Linked DNA regions of Arabidopsis thaliana. The protein of the gene in region 3 purifies or fractionates together with the protein of the main gene of each other region. This does not show direct contact. Each region holds a gene or a part of one and is shown on either strand. Other genes may lie near its edges.

Region 1 (8,319 bases), on a different chromosome or scaffold from region 3:
TTCGATCTTCGATTTGTTACATCGACGGAGATGAAGGAATCTTACGTTATCGGGGATACCCAATTGAAGAGTTGGCTGAGAGCAGTACTTTTATTGAGGTTGCTTATCTCCTCAGTAAGTCTTTATCAATCTCGTTGCTTATTCTTGTTGTTGTTGTTGCTTATTTTACTTTTGTGGCGTCTACTTGTGGAAAAGAAAATGTCTTGAAAATTGTGTCTCTCTTAGTGTCGTGTTAAAATTCCCCTTTTTTTGTCTCCAGTGTATGGAAATCTGCCTTCTCAAAGTCAGCTAGCTGATTGGGAGTTCACTGTTTCTCAGCATTCAGCTGTGCCACAAGGAGTATTGGTGAAATTTCTACTCTTTCGTTATTTGGATTTTCATACTAGTGCAAATTCCAAACTTTGTATCAGAATGCAAATCCAAACCAAAGAGGGATTTTGAAAATGATTTCTTGTCAAGTGTACAAGTTGTTTGTCTTGCTTGTAAACCATGTCTATTAAGGATACTGGATCTCTTTCTAGTATTAGTACCTTATGTCTTACTCGCCGTTGTGAATATAGTTATGTGTATATGCTTAGTAAAAGAATTTTCTATGGATTTTTGATCTGAGACGATTTCTGAATGTTTTTGCAGGATATCATACAGTCCATGCCTCATGATGCACACCCAATGGGAGTTCTTGTGAGTGCCATGAGTGCACTTTCTATCTTTCACCCTGATGCAAATCCTGCTCTTAGTGTAAGTTTTGAAATCCTGTTCTTTTCGTACTGTCAAGATGCCTTTTTCTGAAAATGGCTATGCCAACTCGATTTTCTTTCATTGGGTGCAGGGCCAAGACATTTACAAGTCAAAACAAGTTCGTGATAAACAGATTGTTCGCATTCTCGGAAAGGTATTGTTCTATCTGTTGATGATTTGTTTCCTTAACGTATCTGTGTATAAGTTGCGGGACTAGAAAAAGGGTTTACAACGTGTTTGCAGGCACCAACAATTGCAGCAGCTGCTTATTTGAGGACGGCAGGCAGGCCTCCTGTTCTTCCTTCGGCCAACCTTTCTTATTCAGAGAATTTCCTCTATATGCTGGATTCAATGTACTTTCCCCTCTTTCTTCTGTCTTTATTTGATTTAACACTTGCATTTTAAAAGGGTAGTCAGAAAAACTGTGTTTCTTTAGTCAGTTTAAATCTGTTTCAAGCTTCAAACGTGTCTGTAACACAGGATACATTCTTTAATCTTCAATTGATTACAGGGGCAATAGGTCTTACAAGCCTAATCCTCGTTTGGCTCGAGTGCTGGACATCCTCTTCATACTGCATGCTGAACATGAAATGAACTGCTCTACTGCTGCTGCTCGGCATCTTGCCTCTAGGTACTTATCAGTTATCACTGATTAGAGATATTCATTTAGACTTCTTTGAGTGTTTAAATCAGTATTGTGTTTCTGCAGTGGTGTTGATGTGTACACCGCATGTGCTGGAGCTGTTGGGGCGCTTTATGGTCCACTTCATGGTGGCGCGAACGAGGCCGTGCTTAAGATGTTAGCAGAGATTGGGACTGCTGAAAATATTCCAGATTTCATTGAAGGCGTGAAGAACAGGTAACTCAATGCTTAATAACTACAAGCACCAAGTACTCTGAATTGTGGTGAGTCATGCCGGTAATGTTATATCCCTTTTCTATGTTCTCAGAAAGAGGAAGATGTCAGGTTTTGGACATCGTGTTTACAAAAACTATGACCCCCGAGCAAAAGTTATAAAAAAACTGGCAGATGAAGTGTTCTCCATTGTTGGTAGGGATCCTCTCATCGAGGTACTGTAGATCCTTGTGCTCACGTATCTCTCCTAGTATTTGGTTGTCAAAAAAATTCTTATATAACATGACTGTGGGTTAAATTTTGTTTTGACGGATGATGTTTTCAGGTAGCAGTTGCTCTAGAGAAGGCGGCACTGTCTGATGAATATTTTGTTAAGAGAAAGCTGTACCCAAATGTTGATTTCTACTCTGGATTAATCTATAGGTAAGACATTGCTGATTCATCTGACATAGACCCTGTAACCATTAAGTTCTTTACCTGAACCTTGTGTTGGTAATTGAAATGGGGGAAAAACACAGGGCAATGGGATTCCCACCAGAATTCTTCACAGTCCTGTTCGCAGTCCCGCGTATGGCTGGATACTTGTCACACTGGCGTGAGTCGTTAGATGATCCTGACACTAGGATCATGAGACCCCAACAGGTAAAATACATAACTTGTTTGATAGATCAAAAGGTTTATAGTTTGAGCTAACTGAATTGTGTGGCTGCATATAGGCCTATACTGGAGTGTGGATGAGGCATTACGAGCCAGTGAGAGAACGAACGTTATCAAGTGATTCGGATAAGGATAAGTTTGGTCAAGTTTCCATTTCGAATGCATCAAGAAGGCGTTTAGCTGGATCATCTGCCCTTTAGTCTCAATCCTAATACTCACCAATAAAGAAGAAAACATTGGGATACCTCTGGGAAAACAAGAGAGTCTTCTCAACAACATGTGTTGTTTTCTTTCTCTTATTCTTAAACACTTAATAATACAACCCTATTCTTATTGTTTGTCTGTTATTTTAAAATGTTATGATTTAATAATAATAATCTTGTTATAGGGAACGACATGTACTTTTGATAAATTGCGCTTTTATTCCTGTTAATGTTAATTTCTGAAGACATGTCTAACACATTGGTTTGGAAAATGTCAACCACCAAATCATATCATTTAGGATTAACTGAATGTTATTTTTAGGGTGAATATGTTATGCAGATTCCAAGTGATAACAATAAGCTAACCACTCATTGAACATCATATCATATTTTTTTGTACGGTATTTATAATTTGCCTGAAAGTTTCCTATCATTTTGCATTATTGCCAATAATATTTCCATTTCAAATGAGAACAATTGTGAGAAGTGTGAACAAATATAAAAGAAAAGTGACGTTAAATAACAAACCCTGGAGTACCTGACACTGATTAACAGAAAGAAGTAAGAAGCAACCAAAACAATACATAACTGTCGCAGAGACACATACTTAAAATTGGTTAAAAGCCACAAAACTCTGATTGAAGACAAAGAAGACACTGTAGATTCACGCCAATCATACCCACAAAAGTATTAAGACAAAAGTGTTACGTAATGAAATTATCAAATTTCCCCACTATAAAACCATGCATGCCTATATATCACTTTGAACTACAACAGCCACTTGGTTTCTTATTCGCTTCCCTTTCTTGAATTGTGATCTTTTTGAGGTGACAAATGGAGATTTCGGAGAGAGCTAGAGCTCGATTAGCCGTTCTCAATGCGCACTTGACAGTATCTGAGCCGAATCAGGTGTTGCCAGCGATCGAACCATGGTGCACATCGGCTCACATAACCGCTGCACCGCATGGATCGCTTAAAGGAAATTTGAAGATCGTCGATGAGCGTACGGGGAATGAATATCAGGTCCCAGTCTCAGAGCATGGTACCGTTAAAACCGTTGATCTCAAGAAGGTATATATAATGAGTTTTTATGCTGAAGTTATTTCTTCATTGTGGCCATTAGTACTACGAATAGATTGTTTTTTGTATATTGTGTGAGTGTGTATAAATGGATTTTCATGTTTGGTGTGAAGATAACGACAGGGAAGGATGACAAGGGGCTTAACTTATACGATCCTGGTTACTTAAACACGGCTCCTGTTCGATCTTCGATTTCTTACATCGATGGAGATGAGGGAATCCTACGTTATCGGGGATACCCAGTTGAGGAGTTGGCTGAGAAAAGTACTTATACAGAGGTTACTTATCTCCTAAGTAAGTCTTGATCATCTTGTATAGCTCATTGTTGTTGCTTAATTATGATCATCTTGATCATCTTGTATAGCTCATAGTCTTGCTTTTGTGTGGGTATTTCTTTAAAATTTTGTCTCCCTTAGTGCTCTAGTTTACTACTGCTTTTTTTGTTTTTGCATGCAGTTTATGGGAATCTGCCTTCTCAAAGACAGCTAGCTGATTGGGAGTTTGCGATTTCTCAGAATTCAGCTGTGCCACAAGGAGTATTGGTGAGTTTCTTCTACTCTTTCCTAACTTTCTCTAGATCTTCGAGGTGAGATGATTTATCTGAATGTTTTCACAGGATATGATACAGTCCATGCCTAATGATGTACATCCAGTAGGAGCTCTTGTCACTGCAATGAGTGCACTTTCCATCTTTTATCCTGATGCAAATCCGTCTCTTATGGTAAGTTACGTTTTTATAATCCTGCTTTCTTCTGAAAATTTCCACGCCGACATGGAAATCCCCATTTGGTGCAGGGCCTAGGTGTTTACAAGTCAAAACAAGTTCGTGATAAACAGATTGTTCGTGTTCTTGGACAGGTATTGTTCTGTCTGTGTGATTTGGTGCCTCAATGTATAACCGGACTATGAATTATAATATAACGTGTCTGCAGGCCCCAACAATTGCAGCAGCTGCTTATTTGAGGAAGGCAGGCAAGCCTCCTGTTCAACCTTTGAGCAACCTTTCTTATTCAGAGAATTTCCTCTATATGGTGGAATCAATGTACGTTATTGTCCCTCTTTGTTTGATTTGGAGATGGTAGCCATAAAACTGTGCACTTGTTTAGTCTCATCTTCCATTGATTACAGGGGAGATAGGTCTTACAAGCCTAATCCTCGTTTGGCTCGAGTGCTGGACATCCTCTTCATACTGCAAGCTGAACATGAAATGAACTGCTCTACTGCTGCTGCTAGGCACCTTTCCTCTAGGTACTACTTATCATTGGTTAGAGATTCATTTGAGTCTGCTATGAGATACTTTTTAATCAGCACATAAATCCTCTGTTTATGTAGTGGTGGTGATGTGTATACTGCTGTTTCGGGAGGTGTTGGAGCCATTTATGGTCCCCTTCATGGTGGTGCAGTTGAGGCTACGATTAACATGTTATCAGAGATTGGGACTGTTGAAAATATTCCAGAGTTCATTGAAAGCGTGAAGAATAAGTAACTCAATTCTTAGAGAGTATACCTAGAATGTGATGGTCAATATTCCATTAATGTTAACTCTTTTTATTCCAGGAAGAGGAGGTTGTCGGGTTTTGGACACCGCATTTACAAAAACTACGATCCCAGAGGAAAAGTCGTTAAGAAACTGGCGGATGAAGTGTTCTCCATTCTTGGAAGGGATCCTCTGGTTGAGGTACTCTGTATTCTTGTTGCTCACGTTTCCTTGTTGAATCCTTCATATGTATGATGAATTTGGTTTAAGAAAATATTTGGTGTATAAATAATGTTTTCAGGTAGGAGATGCTCTAGAGAAGGCGGCACTTTCTGATGAATATTTTGTTAAGAGAAAGCTGTACCCAAATGTTGATTTCTACTCTGGATTAATCAATAGGTAAGACATTGATTAGTTATCTAACAAATTCTGACTAATGAGTTGTTGTAACCATTGAGTTCTTTCTTTATTTGAATCTTTTTTGTTGGTAACTGAAATGGGCCAAAACACAGGGCAATGGGAATCCCATCATCATTCACCGCAGTATCACGTATCGCTGGATACTTGTCACACTGGCGTGAGTCTTTAGATGATCCTGACACAAAGATCATGAGACCCCAACAGGTAAAATACACCTTTAATATATAAGTGACTTTGTTTAGATAACATTGGCTCATGGCTAATAAAGACACTTTTTGATAGATCAATGAGTAATTAAGTTTTCTTTTTTGCTCATGAGATTATACATTATGCATAGATACATACACTCTTGGATATATTAATGACTTGAACCTTCTTCTTTTTTTGGCTCATGAGTAATACAATTTTTAATGGATATATGCAGTTTTTGAATAGATCAAAAGTTTTTTTTGGCACAGGTCTATACTGGAGCGGGGATAAGGCATTACGAGACAGTGAGAGAAAGAACCAAGCTGTGATTCGGATTTGGATCAGTTGGGTCAAGTTTCCATTTCGAATGCATCAAGAAGGCGTTAGCTGGGTCAAGTCTCGTTCCTATACTACTAATATGAAATTTGACTCGGAAAGCCAAGCGAATATACAAATATATATAAAGAATATATATGCTTATATAAAATATAGTTTGGGTAAACCCCATCCGACCTCGAGTTAGTAATACATGTGTGTGTGTCTATGTATGTATAAGTTGTCAAAATAAAATAAAAATATTTGTGTATTATAGCATGTTTTTAAGAATATGATGTTGAACAATAATCATAAAGTGATAAAAACAGTTCAAATCTAAATTAAATATAACCGAAACAGTAAGAAGATAGTAGACAACAAATCAAGATGAGATTGGTAATTGAACATATATGCAGCAATAATGACGAAAACCAAAAGGGTCTTCTCAACAATGTGTGTTGTTTTCTTTCTCCTTATAGTTAAAACACTCAATAATCTACATACTATTGAATTTGTTTTTCATTTGTTTGTCTGTTATTTTAAAATTTATGATTTAAAACATATCTTAAGTATAGTGGTTCTATAATCAATTCCATCTAATAATTAAGTTGGTATAGGAAATTAAGACATAACTTTTGATAGATATTGTGCCTTTTGTGAGGAAAGTTCTAAAAGAAGATCTTCTTATTCTTCTTTAGTTAATATAACACATTGCTTTAGTTCTAAGATTTTTTATATATCACACATTGATTCGGAATAATTAGTTAACCACCAAATCATATCCTTTTAAAAAAATGTCATACAATATAGTGTTGAATGAGAGATTATTTTCTCCTCAACCATTTGGAAACTCTATACAACAAGATTTCATCCCTGAAACTTGGAAATGAAAAAATGTATTTGGCCGAGTTTTGTTTTTGTCCTAAGCACTAAATAAGAACGTGAGATATATAGTTCACCGCGTCTAAAGACGAAAGTGATGGGTCTCAGATTTAGGACACGAAAGTAGGCCCCACCATACGTGATGAGCTGTATACGTATTTATTTTATTTGTAAAAAATAAGCCCTTTATATTTACGGTTAATTACACAATTAGCCCATTTCTTTCTTCTCCACGATCACAGCGACGAGGTCGAATACGATCTTCTTACCCCTGTCGACAGTTCTGAATTAATATCAATTTTCATTGTCTTCCTATCTCTCTTTCTCTCTTTGGCTTCTTCCAATCTAATTTCAGTGATTTACTTGTTAAGAATTCACCTTTTGAGAGGCCCAGGTATGTCAATCCCAAATCTCACTCTTTTCTTCTCTTAGTTTGGTTTGAAACAATTGAATCTGGTGGGAAATTTAGGCGTGTATCCATATAACCTGACTGCTCAATTCTGAGTCCAATTGATTAGGTGTGTTCTGTGATCTAGATTTCATCTTCTGGGAAACGATCTATCCTAAAGTCGTAGACTTTGATTCAATTAGAAAATTCGTAGACTTTGATTCAATCTGGGAACAAAAAATGGATAATCTGATGAATCTCTGTATGGATCGTTCGAGATAATGATTGGGTGCTTGGTTCATTAGCCTAAGATTTTCCTAGTGAAACTTAAGAATCTTTGCGTGTTTGTTCAATTATAATTAGTAAACCAGAATTTACGAGATTTCCATGTTGATCTCTTTCCTCAATGATGCAAGTATTGTTTCGCATCATCGAAAAATCATCTTCTGTTGTTGGCTTCTGTCAATAGAGTAAGTCTGTTTGTGTCCTTGTTTAATCCCATCTCTTTCATTTGCTGTAGTTTTGAAATATGGCTGGCCAAAACGCGCGTTTGAATGTGGTTCCCACTGTTACTATGCTCGGGGTTATGAAAGCTCGTCTTGTTGGCGCTACAAGAGGTCATGCTCTCCTCAAGAAAAAGAGTGATGCTTTAACTGTTCAGTTTAGGGCACTTCTCAAGAAAATCGTTACAGCTAAGGAGTCTATGGGAGATATGATGAAGACATCGTCTTTTGCTCTTACCGAAGTAAAGTATGTTGCTGGTGACAATGTCAAACATGTTGTCCTCGAGAACGTTAAAGAAGCTACTTTGAAGGTTCGTTCTCGGACAGAGAATATCGCTGGAGTGAAGCTGCCTAAGTTTGATCACTTCTCTGAAGGTGAGACCAAGAATGACTTGACCGGTTTAGCTAGAGGTGGTCAACAGGTCCGAGCTTGCCGTGTTGCTTATGTGAAAGCCATTGAAGTTCTAGTTGAGCTTGCTTCTCTCCAGACTTCTTTCTTGACCCTTGATGAAGCAATCAAGACGACTAACCGTAGGGTCAACGCTCTGGAGAATGTGGTGAAACCAAAGCTGGAGAATACAATCAGTTACATCAAGGGAGAGCTTGATGAG
Region 2 (8,263 bases), on a different chromosome or scaffold from region 3:
TTAGATTTAGAAAGCTCTAGAGTTTATGAAGATCTGCATCGTTCTTATGAGTTATATGATTGATGGATTTTTTAGTGTAAAGGAACCTACTTTAATGATCAAAGCTAACGTTTTGTTTAAATTTTGAGGCAAAATTCAAATTTATTCATATGAATATTCTCATAAGCTGATGAATTCTGTATCTTTGTACATTAGTGATATAGTCTACTTGTGTGTATCCTTGTTAATTCATATTTAAAGTGTGTTTTTTCTTGTAGGTTTTGGGAAGCTGCTATGTTATTTGAGAGGCTTACCAAGAAACCACCTTCGCTTGTTGATCTTTGCGTAAGGAAAGCGATTGATAATGTAAAGTACATTGGATATGTTGGTGGGGTTGATTTTCAGCTCCTTGAGCAGATTCTGCAACACTGTACACTAGAACAGCTGAAGCACATAGAGGATGCTACTGACGTAACAAGCTTTTCTCATTATATGGCACGATTAATCTTTTGTATGTTTTGCTGGGGGTTTTTTTAATCGTAAGTTATGCTTTTTCGTTGTTTTTGTTCTGCTAGGACACAGATCTTAGTCCAATCACCGATAAGTTTTGGAAGGGATTCTATAAGAAGCACTATGGAGAAGAGGACATGAAGGATCTTATAGAGGACCTGGAGTGGAATAAAGTAAATGATTTCAAATGGAGGAACTTATATGAGGTTGGTTTTTTTTTCAAGTCTTGATACATATTTAAGTGTTGAAATATTTAAGATATACATGCACATGGTTTCGTGCAGTTGAAGGTTATAGCTGTGCAACAAAAGGAGAAGGAACTTGGTGGTCGACTGAAAGAACGTTACAAGGACGAAAATGAAAGTATAACTTTTTACGAATCTGTCTTTTGTTATGGCCGTTAGCTCAATGATGAGAAGCATGTTCTTTGACCAAAATATTTTCTTCTTTCGTTCCCTTGTAATCGTTTTCAGTTTCCTTTTGTCAGGGAAACAAAGTCGACAAACTAAGGTCTGCTCGAAAGCTCCTCCAAGCAAAAGACCATTTTGGGGTAACACATTTTTTTAATCTAAATGATTTCTTGCAGCATCTGGTCAGATCTTGCCAAAAAACAGTATGCAAATGCTCCATGCATATATTAGTTTTTTTTCCCTCTGGCTTTTGTAATCTAATGGTTATATGGACGATTTTGTTGCAGGTAATAGTGCATCAGGTTACAATCTTGGGCATGTGAAGAGCAACATCATGAAGAAGGCAAAAATAGATCTGTTGAAGAGGTACACTTCAAAGTTGCACAATCACCAGTCTTACTTATAAGGTTTATAGCAACAATCTATTTCTTAATTCAAATCTTCTGATGGTTTTGATTACAGTCAAGAAGTGAAAAATCTTACTGCGATTAAAAGGAACACCATTCAGAAGAGTTTCAGGTATCATCTCCCCAGCATCTATTTAGCTATATCAACCCACATTCGTTATCCCCCAAACCTGATCGGTTTGATTGATCATGTCTTGTCTAGTATTTCTACTCCAAAGAAAACTGGCTTATCTGCGAATTCGCCTTCAACTTCAAGAAGCATTCCTTATGGTGGACGAAATCTTACTGAAACTAAAAAGAACACGATTCAGAAGAGTTTCAGGTAACATGTCCTCAGTATCTATATATCTATATGGATCCACTTCTTTATCCCCCAAACTTGATCGGTTTGACGGATCATGTCTTGTATAGTATATCTGCTCCAAAGAGGACTGGCTTATCCGCTAATGCGCCTTCAACTTCAAGAAGCGTTCCTTCTGGTGGACAAAAGCTACCTCCAAGGAGGATCAACGGCCTTCCTGGGACTGCTCCTTCAACTTCAAAAAATGCAGCCACCAGACAAAAACATGTAATGTAACTTATATAGCTTTTTTACAGATCATTTTTTCTTCGAGTGTATCATTTACATGGCTACTTCAAGTTTCAAGAACTCCGAGTTTTGAAACTCTGGCTTGATGATATCCTAGTTTGTAACAATAGATCTTCAAAAGTTTTTACAATGATTTAATAAAGTGCTTTGTTTTCTACTTGTTGCTTTGGCCGAGATATTTCACAACAAACGTCTCTGCAGAAGCATTCGATATAGAAATTAGAGTAATAATCCATAACCATAAATCATTTTATACAATAAACACGTTCTGATAAGAAGACAAACAAGGCGGACAAACACCCTTAGAAGATGGATTGAAGCAAATATAGATCAAGTCTATATTGTGCCTACAAAATGAGAAATCTAAGTTTCGAGTATGATCAAGTATCTTAGCTTTAGGCTAGAGAAACCAATCTCTTTTATTCTTTGCGGTGTGGTTTGATGTATAGTATGGACCCTAAAAGGGCCTACGTCTAAACTGAAGATCCAGCCAAACGTCTTCTTGATGCATTTGAAGTCGCGACTTGACCCAATTTGTCTGACTCTTTCGAGTCATCCGTCACTATTCTCTCTCTCACTGGTGTGTAATGCCTCAGCCACACGCCTGTGTACACCTGCAACATTTAATATTCCAATGAACCATCCAAGTTTCAAATTGATCCAAAGAAAAATCTTTCTCTTATTATTCTTGGAAAGAGATTAACTATACCTGTTGTGGTCTCATGATCTTGGTGTCAGGATCATCCAGTGACTCTTTCCAATGTGACAAGTATCCAGCCATGCGAGGAATCGCGAATAAGACCGTGAAGAACTCCGGTGGAAATCCCATTGCCCTGTTGTAATGGTCCAAGTTTGCAGATTTAGATGAAGTTGAGAGGAAGTTATGGATACTGCACATGCATTCAAACTTTTACCTGTATATTAATCCAGAGTAGAAGTCAACATTTGGATACAGCTTTCTCTTAACAAAGTAATCGTCAGAGAGAGCTGCCTTCTCAAGTGCAACAGCAACCTGCAGACATCAGAATCAAACACATTGGCTTTAAGGAAACATGAAAAATTACACTAAATCGAAAAGGTGGGCATCAAGTTGTAGTATAAGCTTGAACTTCGTGGACATAGCGTACCTCAATTAGAGGATCCTTTCCAACAATGGAAAATACTTCATCAGCCAGGTTCTTGATGACTTTAGCTCGAGGGTCATAGTTTTTGTACACACGGTGTCCAAAACCAGACATCTTCCTCTTCCTAAGATGTCAAAGGGATGAGAATTTTAATGAAAAGACTTGTCACAAACCTCGGAAACGGAAGCATATAGTTTCAAGAATTGATTTTACCTGTTCTTCACACCCTCAATGAACTCTGGAATATTTTCAACAGTCCCAATCTCTGACAACATCTTAAGCACAGCCTAATGGAACCAAAGACATGAATTTCAAAGACCATGGAGCATGAAAATACATCAGAAGATGTAACATATGAAGACATGAGAATAAATAGCATACCTCGTTTGCACCACCATGAAGTGGACCATAAAGCGCTCCCACAGCTCCAGCAACAGCAGTGTAGACATCAACACCGCTACAAGAAGACATTTCCTAATCAATATATCTCCTATCAAGGTCACTAAGATTCCAACCAAAGATAAGTACCTAGAGGCAAGATGCCGAGCAGCAGCGGTGGAGCAGTTCATTTCATGCTCTGCATGCAGTATGAAGAGGATGTCCAACACCCGAGCCAGCCGAGGATTAGGTTTGTAGGATCTATTTCCCCTGTAAGAAGTGTGTTAATGGCACGCTACAAGTTATGTACACAGTAAAAAAATAACTAGGCTTCAAGTTCTCTGAAGCGTCAAGATCTAAAACTAAATCTAAAAGTTGAGTTTCTAACTAATTCAAGAAGAAAGAGATAGCAGAGACATACAGGGAATCAAGCATATAGAGGAAATTATCTGCATAAGGAAGGTTTCCTGAAGGAAGAACAGGAGGCCTTCCTGCCATCCTCAGATAAGCAGCTGCTGCAATTGTTGGTGCCTGCACAAATCGCAAACACGTTTAGTTGCATCAGATCTTCATGAAATTCAGAGTCCAAATATGTTTATGCGTGACACAATATAGGAAGAAGTAAGGTAACCACTGATAACAAAAAAATACCTTTCCAATAATGCGGATAATTTGTTTATCTCTAACTTGTTTTGAATCGTAAATATCCTGGCCCTGCACCCAATAGAGTATCAGTCAACATGTTTATACGGACAATTTCAAAAGAGCTAAAACTAGCGAGTGACAAGGCCTGACATGTTGTTAGAGAAGTAATATAAGGTTAAACCTACCCTAAGAGCAGGATTAGCATCAGGATGAAAGATGGAAAGCGCACTCATTGCACTCACAAGAACTCCCATTGGGTGTGCATCATGAGGCATAGACTGTATAATATCCTGCACAAAAGTTATCAAGTAAGTGGAGTTAGATATGAGAAATATATAGCTTTGAGTACAGCACACAATCCTCAGAACAACATGTATAGAACAGTCTTGACAAATTATTGTTCGACCAGACAAGAAAATAGGCTACTAGTAAAGAACAGGCTAACTCCATTTTACAAATCGAAATTGAAATCCATCAACCAAGGATTAGAGACTCACTAATACACCTTGTGGCACAGCTGAATGCTGAGAAACTGCAAACTCCCAATCAGATAGCTGACTTTCAGAGGGCAGATTCCCATACACTGCCAGAAAATATAGTAAAGGAGAAAACTTTTCATCAATGTCCAATTCGATACACATAACACTTGAAATTGTGTAGTAAGGTTAAAAGGTAAAACACTTACTGAGAAGATAAGCCACCTCCAGAAAAGTACTGTTCTCAGCCATTTCCTCAATTGGGTAGCCACGGTAACGAAGGATCCCTTCATCTCCATCGATGTAAGAAATCGAAGATCGAACAGGAGCCGTGTTCAAGTAACCTGGATCGTATAACTTAAGCCCCTTGTCTTCCTTCCCCGTCACTATCTGCAAGCCAAACAACACGCAACAAAGCAAATTCTCAGCTCAAAATCCCACAGTGATAGGAAAATGGTCATTTAGAAAAAGGGTTAAACCTTTTTGAAATCAACGGCTTTAACGGTACCATCATCTGAGACCGGAACTTTATAATTTTTTCCGGTGCGTTCGTCGACGATCGTCAGTGTTCCCTTCAAAGATCCAAGCGGTGCGACACTCGTATCCGCCGACGTGCACCATCGCTCGATCGCTGGAGAATCCTGTTTTCCTTCCGATAAATGACCTGAGAGAACAGCTAATCGAGCTCGAACTCTCTCTGATATCTCCATTCAACCAAAATCAAAATTCAAAGAAGGAGAGAAGAAGAAGAAAGGGAGCGAAGAAATTATTAGAAACCATTCTTACTCTTCGTTAATATAACACGTGTCTTATCCCCTGCGGTCAGGAGTATTGAACAGTATCCACGTGTATGCGATCTAACGGATATCTTGATATCCAACGGCGTAAGCCTTATTGACCCAACTTGGACTAACGGTGATGATCTTCTCCATCTCTAAGCTGTCAGAATTATGTGGGACCCACTTATCAGTATTATCTAGTTAGTCAATTGCTTTCCTCGATTTGCTAAATATCAATTCGATTGCTACGCAATGCTGAATGGGCCGAATTGTCTTAATATGGGCTTCTGTATATTCATCTTTAGGCCCAACAGTATACCACTTTTTATTTGGGCCTTTTTTGTTGATACGGCTCGCTTTACCATCGGAACCAACCCAACATTCATTTTTCGAACTATGACTGAAATCTTATTAAAAAAATGAATGTAAAGCTAAATATGGATGTTGCGTTCAAAATAAAACTCATGAGTTTATGGATGTTCTTCATAAATTATAGTTATCATTAATCAAAAGATGGAAAATACAAACGGTTATTTACTCTTTAATGTTAGTGTACGAGGCTATTAATCTTATAAGTTGTATTTATGTATTATATTATGGAGAATGAATAGGTCTAATTACGTTTTAAAAAAAAAGCATGGAGGAAATGAGAGTGAAAGGTATAATAAATGACATGTTAAAAGCGACGGGTCGTATATTTTGATTCGTACCTAAAAATAGAATTCTAAGTTTACCCCACGTGAGGCTCTGAATCTGAGAGTGATAGATTTTTCTTTCCCTCCTTCCGTTTTCAACACATGATGACATGAACAAGGAACTGTTCCTTTTTTTTTTCTTTAAACATTATCTGCAACGGTGATCACTCACTCAATGATATCTTTCATTTATAACTTCACACGTCTATAAATTAAATTTGTTCATAGGATCTACAATAACACAATTAACATCACTTGTGTTTTTAAGTTATTCAAGCAGAGGCATAGTAATTGATAAAAATAGACAACAAGAAAGCATTTGAAACAAAATTACTGTTGTAAACAAAGCTTTTTCACGGTAATGGAATTCCGAAATAAAAATATATAAAAAAGAAAGTGACAGAGGAAATGTGTGAGAGAGGCAAAGGAAATGCAATATTTGCAGGAAGAAAAAAAGCATGAGAAAAAAGTAGGTGTGGATTTAGACACATGACTGACAAATTATATTTTTCTAGTTTCTCCTCTATATGGTGGTTTCTGCGTTTATCATGTTTAAATATATTTAAACCTTTCATTAGTCACATCACATCCCAAAAATGTGTACGATAATAAAAAGATTGTTTATATACCAAAATTAATTGGTTTACTCAATCATCTTTTTAATTTTGGTCATTTGATACGATCAATCATAGGGTGTCCTAACGTTAAGTTCGATGACGCTGCTACCTCTTTTGAGCGTACCATTCAGGGTCCTACTCGGCTACTCCTACATAATGAATTTAGCAAATAGCAGTTTAAAAACAAATTACGTTAGTTGATTAAGATAAATAAATTAGCTTAACACAAATTTGAAATGGTTAGTTGAAACTCAATTAACATTAATTTTTCTAGGTCTTCAATTTAGTTGCATGGTTAGACTTGAATCAGGTTGTGTCGTTTTATCAGACTCACTGCAAACTCTTTGTCCAAACTGCTCCCTTATTTTTGTTTATTACACTCTATGTATGTAAATTTTATAACAGATTTACTAGAAATTTAATTCTTACCCAATAGAAAACAAAAACGTCGTTTCATTTCATTTGTTATTTTCTCTTTTGTATACAAACACATATTTATACACACGGCTATGAAGTTGTTCAGGACCATTATGGATGACTCGAAATAATTTTATTAACAATCATATAAAAATCTGAAAATACTAGTATTATTATTAAACTAAAAAAAAAACACAACATTAACGTACATTGCTTTAATAGGAAACTAATACACATCAAAATCGACTCTATTAATTTATTTCCCTAGAAATCATCGGTCTACTTTGGGAACAAACACAATTCTTCTCTCTTTTTTAGGGATTTGATAAATATTTAATTCTCTGTCTGTTTTGTCTTTATCTCACTCTTAGAGAACCCATCGTTGATGTAAACCTAGAAACAGAGCAAACGGAAACAGAGCATTGGCGAAGAAGCAAGATCTGTAATACCGAGAAGCTTGAGATTTCTTCTTCGATGAATGCACCGATAAACCTCCACCACTACTAACGTTCTTCCCGCATACATCAACCCCGGTCTTGACAACACTAAACTCATCCTCCGGATTCAGACACAATCCTCTGTTCCCGCTCAAATCCAAGTTCTTACCCAACCGTCTTAAGAAACTTGAATCAAACGGAACAACGCCGATCAGTAAGTTCCTGCTGAGATTCAGATGGAAAACGTGTGGCAGAGACTCAAACCCTGATGGGATTTCGCCGGTTAATCTGTTGTTAGCAAGAGACAACGAGCTAAGGTTCGTCAATTTGGTGTAACTCTCCGGGATTACGCCGGAATATCCAGAATTCTCGAGCTGGAGCTCTTGAAGTTTAGGAAGAAACCCTAATTCAACGGGGAGAGCAACGAACATTGGGTTATTATCCATTATGAAGTACTGCAAACTCTGAAGGTTCGAGATTCCTTTTGGAAAAGCTCCCTTTAGTTTGTTGTTGCTCAACGCCATGAAAGACAACGAACGAAGCTTTTCTACACCTTCCGGGATTCTTCCGAAGAGAGAATTTGAGCTCAAGTCGAGTTTCTGAAGCATACCCAGTTGAGAGATCGTTGGAGGGATTGTACCGGTTAAAGAATTGTAGCTTAAATCTAAGCCAACGAGGTTATTTAGATTCCCTAATTGCAGAGGGATTTTACCTGTGAGCTTGTTGTAGCTGAGATCGAGGTGTACGAGGCTTTTCAATGAGAAAATCGCCGGAGGGATATCTCCGGTTAATCGGTTTTG
Region 3 (6,331 bases):
TCGTTCTTCATACGACGCTGCAAGAAAAAGAAAAAAGCAAGAGGATCATGTATTTGAGATTTCAATATTTGCATATGTACATTTTACAGTGAGATTTCGAAGAAGACTTACGCTCAGTTGGTCGAGATAACAGGGGAACGTGTTCTGCCCTTTTCTTCTTTTTTTCTACGCCATTGCATGAGCTTTCCTCTGTTGAAACTGAAATTTTATTTTGAGTTGATTCTCTCTTTCATAGAAGTCATCTTACTACTATTTAGTATTTACAGTAAAGGGTAAAGGAAATACTGATGTATCGTACCATTGTTGCTTAGAGGTAAACAGTTTCGGAGAGCCTCCTGATAAATTACAGACTCTAATTGGTATGTCAATGATTCATTCTTGAAATGAGACCGCAGTGACTCTGCAGCACCTTTAGGCATGAAAAAGGGGTTTGTTATTATCATATCTACTCAATCTAAAACCACTTCCAAGATATCTGAATCAGACTTTGTTACCTGGAGAACATATGAAGTCAACATTTTCGAATTCACATGTACGGAGGACTAAGGGTATCTCTGAGGCCAATAGGTATTGAGGTTTTCTTGGCGTTTTCTTTGTGTCCAACAATGTATCTATCACCTGGGTAAATGCCAGTTCATCCCTAAATCAACACTTGATGAATATATAAACCTCCCAAGTAAGGATTGGATTGAGCTTGGAAACTGGAACAAACATGAAGGTTTCCAAGTGACTTACATCAACTGATTCAACGCCCTGCCCAATCATGAATAGCACGGCGACCATACAGCGGATCTGGTGCCACAGGAAAGCACTGCCTCTCATTGTAAATGTGCAAAGCTGATCACCCTCATGACTTCACAAGAAGGAAAAACAAGAAGATCAGATGTTTTAGAACCAAAAGACAAAATAATAAAAGATAATTGATCAGAAGAATGTGTGTATATAAAGTAGTGACTGGTGTGAGTTTAACAATGGGTGCCATTGTGCTCAATAGGATGCGCAATTTCTATTGTTCCTAGAACATGATTTTGTCTACCCTTAATTTTTTACAATTGTATTAGTCATAACCCTATATTACTAGTGGTCTACCATTAGAACCTGAACAATCCTACGGTTTTAAGCAAGAATCTTAGTTGACCTAAGCCTTTATAGGATCCAAAATCAGTTCAAAGAATACTAATGTAGTCAGCGGTCATCAAAAGAGGATCAGAAGATCAGCTTAAATGTGCCTTTTACCAAAGCCAACCTATTTTGACAAGGGGAGACTTCAAAGAAAGTAACACGCCGTGTATAGCAATGTACATTTGCCACATCCATCTTGCAGAAGTTTCTGAAATCATGCTCCCCAATGAACTTCTTCCCGGCAAAGTCCATGGCCTAGAGGAAGATGCGAATAAAAATTAACTTCTATATTGTTTCAATTGTGGAGTATTTTGACTTTATTAACAAGTGTAAAGATCACTGCACCGAAAGATTCAGGTTCTGCCTCCAGAAAAAATATTTGTATTCTCTAGCATAGCAACTAAACCTGTACCCAAGGAAACAAAAAAAAGGTAAGCATCCAGTATCCAATACTAGTTCACAACGTATTCTGCAGTCAGGGCGGAATAGCACAAACAACAACGAAGGATTACAAAAAAAAACGGGAAAACACAAACCTTGCATGAAAGTCGATAGGAGCAGGAGACCATCCAATAACTCGGATGTCATCAGGGAGAGCACGATTTAGAACTCTTACATAATCATATTCTGGTCCTAAACCAGAGAAATCAGAGAGTTACAGCAACAACATTAAGAGGGTGAAAACCACCAAAATGAATTACATTCCCAGAGTAAACTTACTTTCACCCGTTCTCCCATTCACTTGGGCTTTAGAGTCTCCAGGAGGTGACTTCAGTCTGGATCTTAAAAACAAAGCAATCACCTGCATCAACAATCGAATAGACATAAGAGATCGCTTCTTCCACGAGCCTACCTTATAGACATTTGGGAATGCTCCCATTACAGGGTTTTGGAAAAACATCAGCACAATGAGAAATTGGTTCTTAAACTGATGAGATCATATGAGTAGTTATATCATTGGCACACAACCAGTGAGATCGAAAGAAACTATTGCGAGTAAAATGCTAGAGATCAAGAGAGGCCCAAGCAAGCCACCTGCCCTGTGGAGGAAACACCTTTATCTGTTCTCCCACATCTCGAGTAACAAGAATCTTTCTTGTCCCCAACTAAAAGCCGTGTCCTTTCAAGTGCTTTAAAAACTTCTGACTGCAGGAAACACACAAATTACTCATCATGTAAATACAAATTAGTTATTACTAGTTAACAAACAAAACAAAGAGAACAAAAACACACCTCAATACTTGGTTCCATTTGTGCTTCAGCCGAAAATCCATAAAATCTGTAACAACAAAAATTCATTCATTCATACGATTAGGAACAATGACATAACATGAAGAAGAGAAGCAATCCAAAAAACATACCTCTTACCAAAATACATGATTTTGAGTGCAACATATCTCTTTGAGATAAGATGACTCGGTATACTATTCTTATCTCCTTTTCTAACTCTCCTTCTCCTAACTAAGCTACTGGAATCTGACAATGACCGATCATGCTTCACTTCCATCTACAACAAAAACACCGAGATTCTTGACAATTTCAAACGAAACAATGTGAAGTCAATCAAAAGTTAAGTATATCTTCACCTGTTGGCATTGGCAGCTTGAAACCTGAGACAACAATTTAGCATTTTCCACTTCTAACTCCTGATGAGAGATATAGAACAAACAATGAAACAATCAACAACTTCACTATCTAACGTTTCTACAGGAGAATTAACCGAAGATTCAACATAGTTTCAAACTCAACCTTTAAGCAATGTGTAATCGAATCGTTCCACTAACAAAATGCTTAACAACGAAGGGCACAAACATTGAGCGAAGAGACTACAGAGACGTTGAAGAAGCTAAGAAGATGACAAGTCGTACGGAGATTTTTACCTTGACGCGATTACGGAGAAACACTAGTTCTGTTTCTTTGGCGATTTCAGAGTCTCGGTCATCGCCGCCGGGATCGGATTTTGCGTCGGAGATAGTCATGAATCAGCCTCGAATTTTAAGATGGATACACGAATGACGGCGACGAAACGAGATTCGACGCCGGTGAAAAGAGCCAACGAGACGGCGACGAAACGAGATTCGACGCCGGTTGAAAAGAGTTCAACGACGGGGACAAAACGCGGCGTCGAAGAGAAACTGTGTTGGGATTAGTCAAGAGTCTACATATGTTTCTCTATTTACATATTAGTCACTATAGTTATTCATATTTCTCTGAAAACCCTCTTATGTTATTGTTTTTTTTTTCTTAAAGATAATAATGTTTTTGACGATCTATTTATTAATTTCTGAATTGAATAAAATACAAAACAAGTTTACGATTATACTTTGTAGTTAAAATTAATGTTTAACCAAATAAGTTGACGATCTACATATGTTTCAAATTTATATTTATGATCTAACGGTACGAATCTGTTGCCAAGTGTGAGCAGTACCAGCTCATATATTTCATGTGCCCTAAGACAAATTTTGAAAAGAAAATATTTTATTCTCTTTTTGTATGTATAATTTTTTTTGTGTGTCTCTTTTATATATACAAAAAGAAAACAATTTGTGCTCTTTTTATACAGAAAAAAAACAATTTCTCATATATAGAATGATCGCATTATTCATCGTTGTACTTAAACCGGCACTCACTGTGAGAGGAGGTTAACTTTTCTTATTTCTTTAAGCTTATCGAAATAGTTAAAGCTTATCTTTAATTTTTTTATTTGATATTAGAAATTATTAATATTATCTTAGTAGAAAAATAAAAAGCTAATCCTAGTAAGGAATTGACTTTTTTTTTTTCTTTTTTTTAATATATATGACTTTAGAACCAGATATATACTTAAAAAAAATTATCAGAGAACAAAGACGTGTTTCAACTATAAGAACCTCAGAGAACAAATTTGAGAAGCATACATTATATATAGGAGATCTTGATTCGAGTGTCGAAGAGGGTGACTTATACACCAAATTCAGTGAGTTCACTCATGATATTTCTTCAGTGAAAGTTTGTTGCGACCGAAACACTGGCTTGTCTCTTGGTTATGGATATGTTAATTTCAACCATAGTTCTCAAGGTAAGTCGTAATATTCTATATGTTCGTCTATATTAATTGTTTCATCATGTTGCTTGTTTCTAGGGTTTAGTCGTTACGTTGAGGAAATAGTTTACTTTCAATGATTGTTCCCTAATCTAAAACACTTTTTAGTTTTTTTTTGTTAGTATTATTTAGGCACACGTGTATTTGTTTCGATTTAAATTATGTCGATTTTTCTTTAACGAATTTGAATGTTAATTGGTTTGATTTATTTATTTTTTCGTGGGGAAAAACAGCGAAGACTGCAATGGAGGTGCTGAATTATTGTAAGTTAAAGGGAAAACCTATGAGGATAATGTTTTCAGAACGTGATCCTAGCAACAGAATGAGTGGACGAGGTAACGTGTTTGTCAAGAATCTAGACGAATCTATCGACAACAAGCAACTTTGCGATATGTTCTCTGCATTTGGCAAAGTTCTCTCTTGCAAAGTGGCTCGTGATGCTTCTGGAGTTTCCAAAGGATATGGGTTCGTCCAGTTTTACTCAGACCTTTCAGTCTACACCGCATGCAATTTTCACAATGGCACGCTCATCCGCAATCAACATATTCATGTTTGTCCATTCGTTAGCCGTGGTCAATGGGATAAATCTCGGGTTTTCACTAATGTTTATGTTAAAAACTTGGTGGAGACTGCGACGGATGCTGATTTGAAGAGGCTCTTTGGGGAGTTTGGGGAGATAACTAGCGCGGTGGTGATGAAAGATGGAGAAGGTAAGTCTAGAAGGTTCGGGTTTGTGAACTTCGAGAAGGCTGAGGCCGCGGTTACTGCGATAGAGAAGATGAACGGGGTAGTAGTTGATGAAAAGGAGTTGCATGTTGGAAGAGCTCAGAGGAAAACTAATAGAACTGAGGATTTGAAAGCTAAATTTGAACTAGAAAAGATAATACGGGATATGAAAACACGTAAAGGGATGAATCTTTATGTGAAGAATCTTGATGATTCTGTTGATAACACAAAGCTTGAAGAATTATTCTCAGAGTTTGGGACCATCACTTCTTGCAAGTACGCATGCAATAGCAAAAGATTGATTTGTGACTACGACGAATAATAAATTTAACTAATGAATTTTGAAGGTCATGGTCCATTCCAATGGTATTAGCAAAGGTGTTGGGTTTGTTGAGTTCTCAACGAGCGAAGAAGCTTCGAAAGCGGTAAGTTTGTAAACCAAGTAATGGTCTTTTAGTGTTGCCTTCTTAATCAAGGAACTCACACTAATTAATTTTTTATCCTTACACAGATGCTCAAGATGAATGGGAAAATGGTGGGAAATAAACCTATCTATGTTTCTTTGGCACAATGCAAAGAGCAACATAAGCTTCATTTACAAACTCAATTTAATAACCCACCACCAAGTCCTCACCAACAACCTATCTTCAGTCAAGTGGTCGCTCCGGCAACAATGTTATCTCAACAAACTCCATTAAGAGGATACAACTTCCAACCATATTCTATGTGCGGATCAAGAATGCCAAACAGTTGCCCTCCAATCTCTATCCCTAATTTCATGGTGCCACAACCATTTCGTCCAACACTATATCCACCTGCTCCGCTTGTCGGCCTCTACGGTAGTTTGCCACAGCCACTACTGCAACCAAATCTATGGAACCCATACCGTAGATTTTAGTAGCTTTTAGGAATTAACATTATGCTTCCAAAAGCGAACTGGTTGGATTGATAGTCTTCTTTTATTAAGTTAAGTCATGTTAGGTTTTCATTTACGATATTCTCGTTGGTTTGAATACGGTTTATGTTTCTTGTGTCTCTACTTTTCAACATTCATGTTTACTTTGAGCTTGATCAAACCAAGATTAAATTACAGAACTTGTTTTAAAAGTAGACGAAAAAACCAATGCAAATAGGTTTCAACTTAAGTGATGGAAAAACTACAAAAAATGTCTCTGCATCAAAATAAAACCATATCCAAGAAAATCCGAAATTGTGGTTCCTCCTCAAAACTATCAACTATCTAAAACCATTTTGGTAACATTGAAGCATCACAACCTATTTGTAGGAGGTTTAACTCTGTAAATACGAACTATCCAGTTGGATGTTGTGTAAGCTTCTTCTAAGTGTTCAAGTTTGATATCTTTGTTCCCTATCTCCACTCCTCTTGCTCTATCATAC

The links.
Region 1: the proteins of PAB1 (region 3) and CSY1 fractionate together in Arabidopsis thaliana (co-fractionation; one large-scale study listed by BioGRID). This does not show direct contact.
Region 2: the proteins of PAB1 (region 3) and CSY3 fractionate together in Arabidopsis thaliana (co-fractionation; one large-scale study listed by BioGRID). This does not show direct contact.

Annotation. Positions count from the first base shown.
Region 1 is NC_003074.8:21,718,696-21,727,014, reverse strand, and holds CSY1 (citrate synthase 1), read left to right. Parts: upstream 1-3,224; 5' UTR 3,225-3,288; coding exon 3,289-3,525; intron 3,526-3,647; coding exon 3,648-3,828; intron 3,829-3,990; coding exon 3,991-4,076; intron 4,077-4,150; coding exon 4,151-4,255; intron 4,256-4,329; coding exon 4,330-4,392; intron 4,393-4,466; coding exon 4,467-4,576; intron 4,577-4,662; coding exon 4,663-4,782; intron 4,783-4,866; coding exon 4,867-5,016; intron 5,017-5,091; coding exon 5,092-5,212; intron 5,213-5,312; coding exon 5,313-5,410; intron 5,411-5,523; coding exon 5,524-5,635; intron 5,636-5,889; coding exon 5,890-5,949; 3' UTR 5,950-6,242; downstream 6,243-8,319. Other genes in the region: CSY2 (citrate synthase 2), read left to right, coding at 1-114, 260-345, 634-738, 830-892, 982-1,091, 1,250-1,369, 1,448-1,597, 1,689-1,809 and 3 more; AT3G58730 (vacuolar ATP synthase subunit D (VATD) / V-ATPase D subunit / vacuolar proton pump D subunit (VATPD)), read left to right, coding at 7,735-8,319.
Region 2 is NC_003071.7:17,800,764-17,809,026, forward strand, and holds CSY3 (citrate synthase 3), read right to left. Parts: upstream 5,311-8,263; 5' UTR 5,229-5,310; coding exon 4,998-5,228; intron 4,909-4,997; coding exon 4,728-4,908; intron 4,626-4,727; coding exon 4,540-4,625; intron 4,333-4,539; coding exon 4,228-4,332; intron 4,112-4,227; coding exon 4,049-4,111; intron 3,929-4,048; coding exon 3,819-3,928; exon of another isoform or gene 3,668-3,818; coding exon 3,548-3,667; intron 3,477-3,547; coding exon 3,401-3,476; intron 3,307-3,400; coding exon 3,233-3,306; intron 3,144-3,232; coding exon 3,023-3,143; intron 2,908-3,022; coding exon 2,810-2,907; intron 2,729-2,809; coding exon 2,605-2,728; intron 2,510-2,604; coding exon 2,369-2,509; 3' UTR 2,078-2,368; downstream 1-2,077. Other genes in the region: AT2G42780 (transcription elongation factor B polypeptide), read left to right, coding at 274-450, 555-695, 774-852, 977-1,039, 1,187-1,265, 1,362-1,418, 1,509-1,628, 1,718-1,883; RLP29 (receptor like protein 29), read right to left, coding at 7,394-8,263. UniProt on the Arabidopsis thaliana protein: Peroxisomal citrate synthase required for the fatty acid respiration in seedlings, citrate being exported from peroxisomes into mitochondria during respiration of triacylglycerol (TAG).
Region 3 is NC_003070.9:12,432,856-12,439,186, reverse strand, and holds PAB1 (poly(A) binding protein 1), read left to right. Parts: upstream 1-4,451; coding exon 4,452-5,210; intron 5,211-5,280; coding exon 5,281-5,358; intron 5,359-5,444; coding exon 5,445-5,831; downstream 5,832-6,331. Other genes in the region: AT1G34150 (Pseudouridine synthase family protein), read right to left, coding at 1-17, 112-198, 299-409, 495-618, 736-853, 1,247-1,377, 1,468-1,528, 1,659-1,755 and 6 more; STT3B (staurosporin and temperature sensitive 3-like b), read right to left, coding at 6,202-6,331.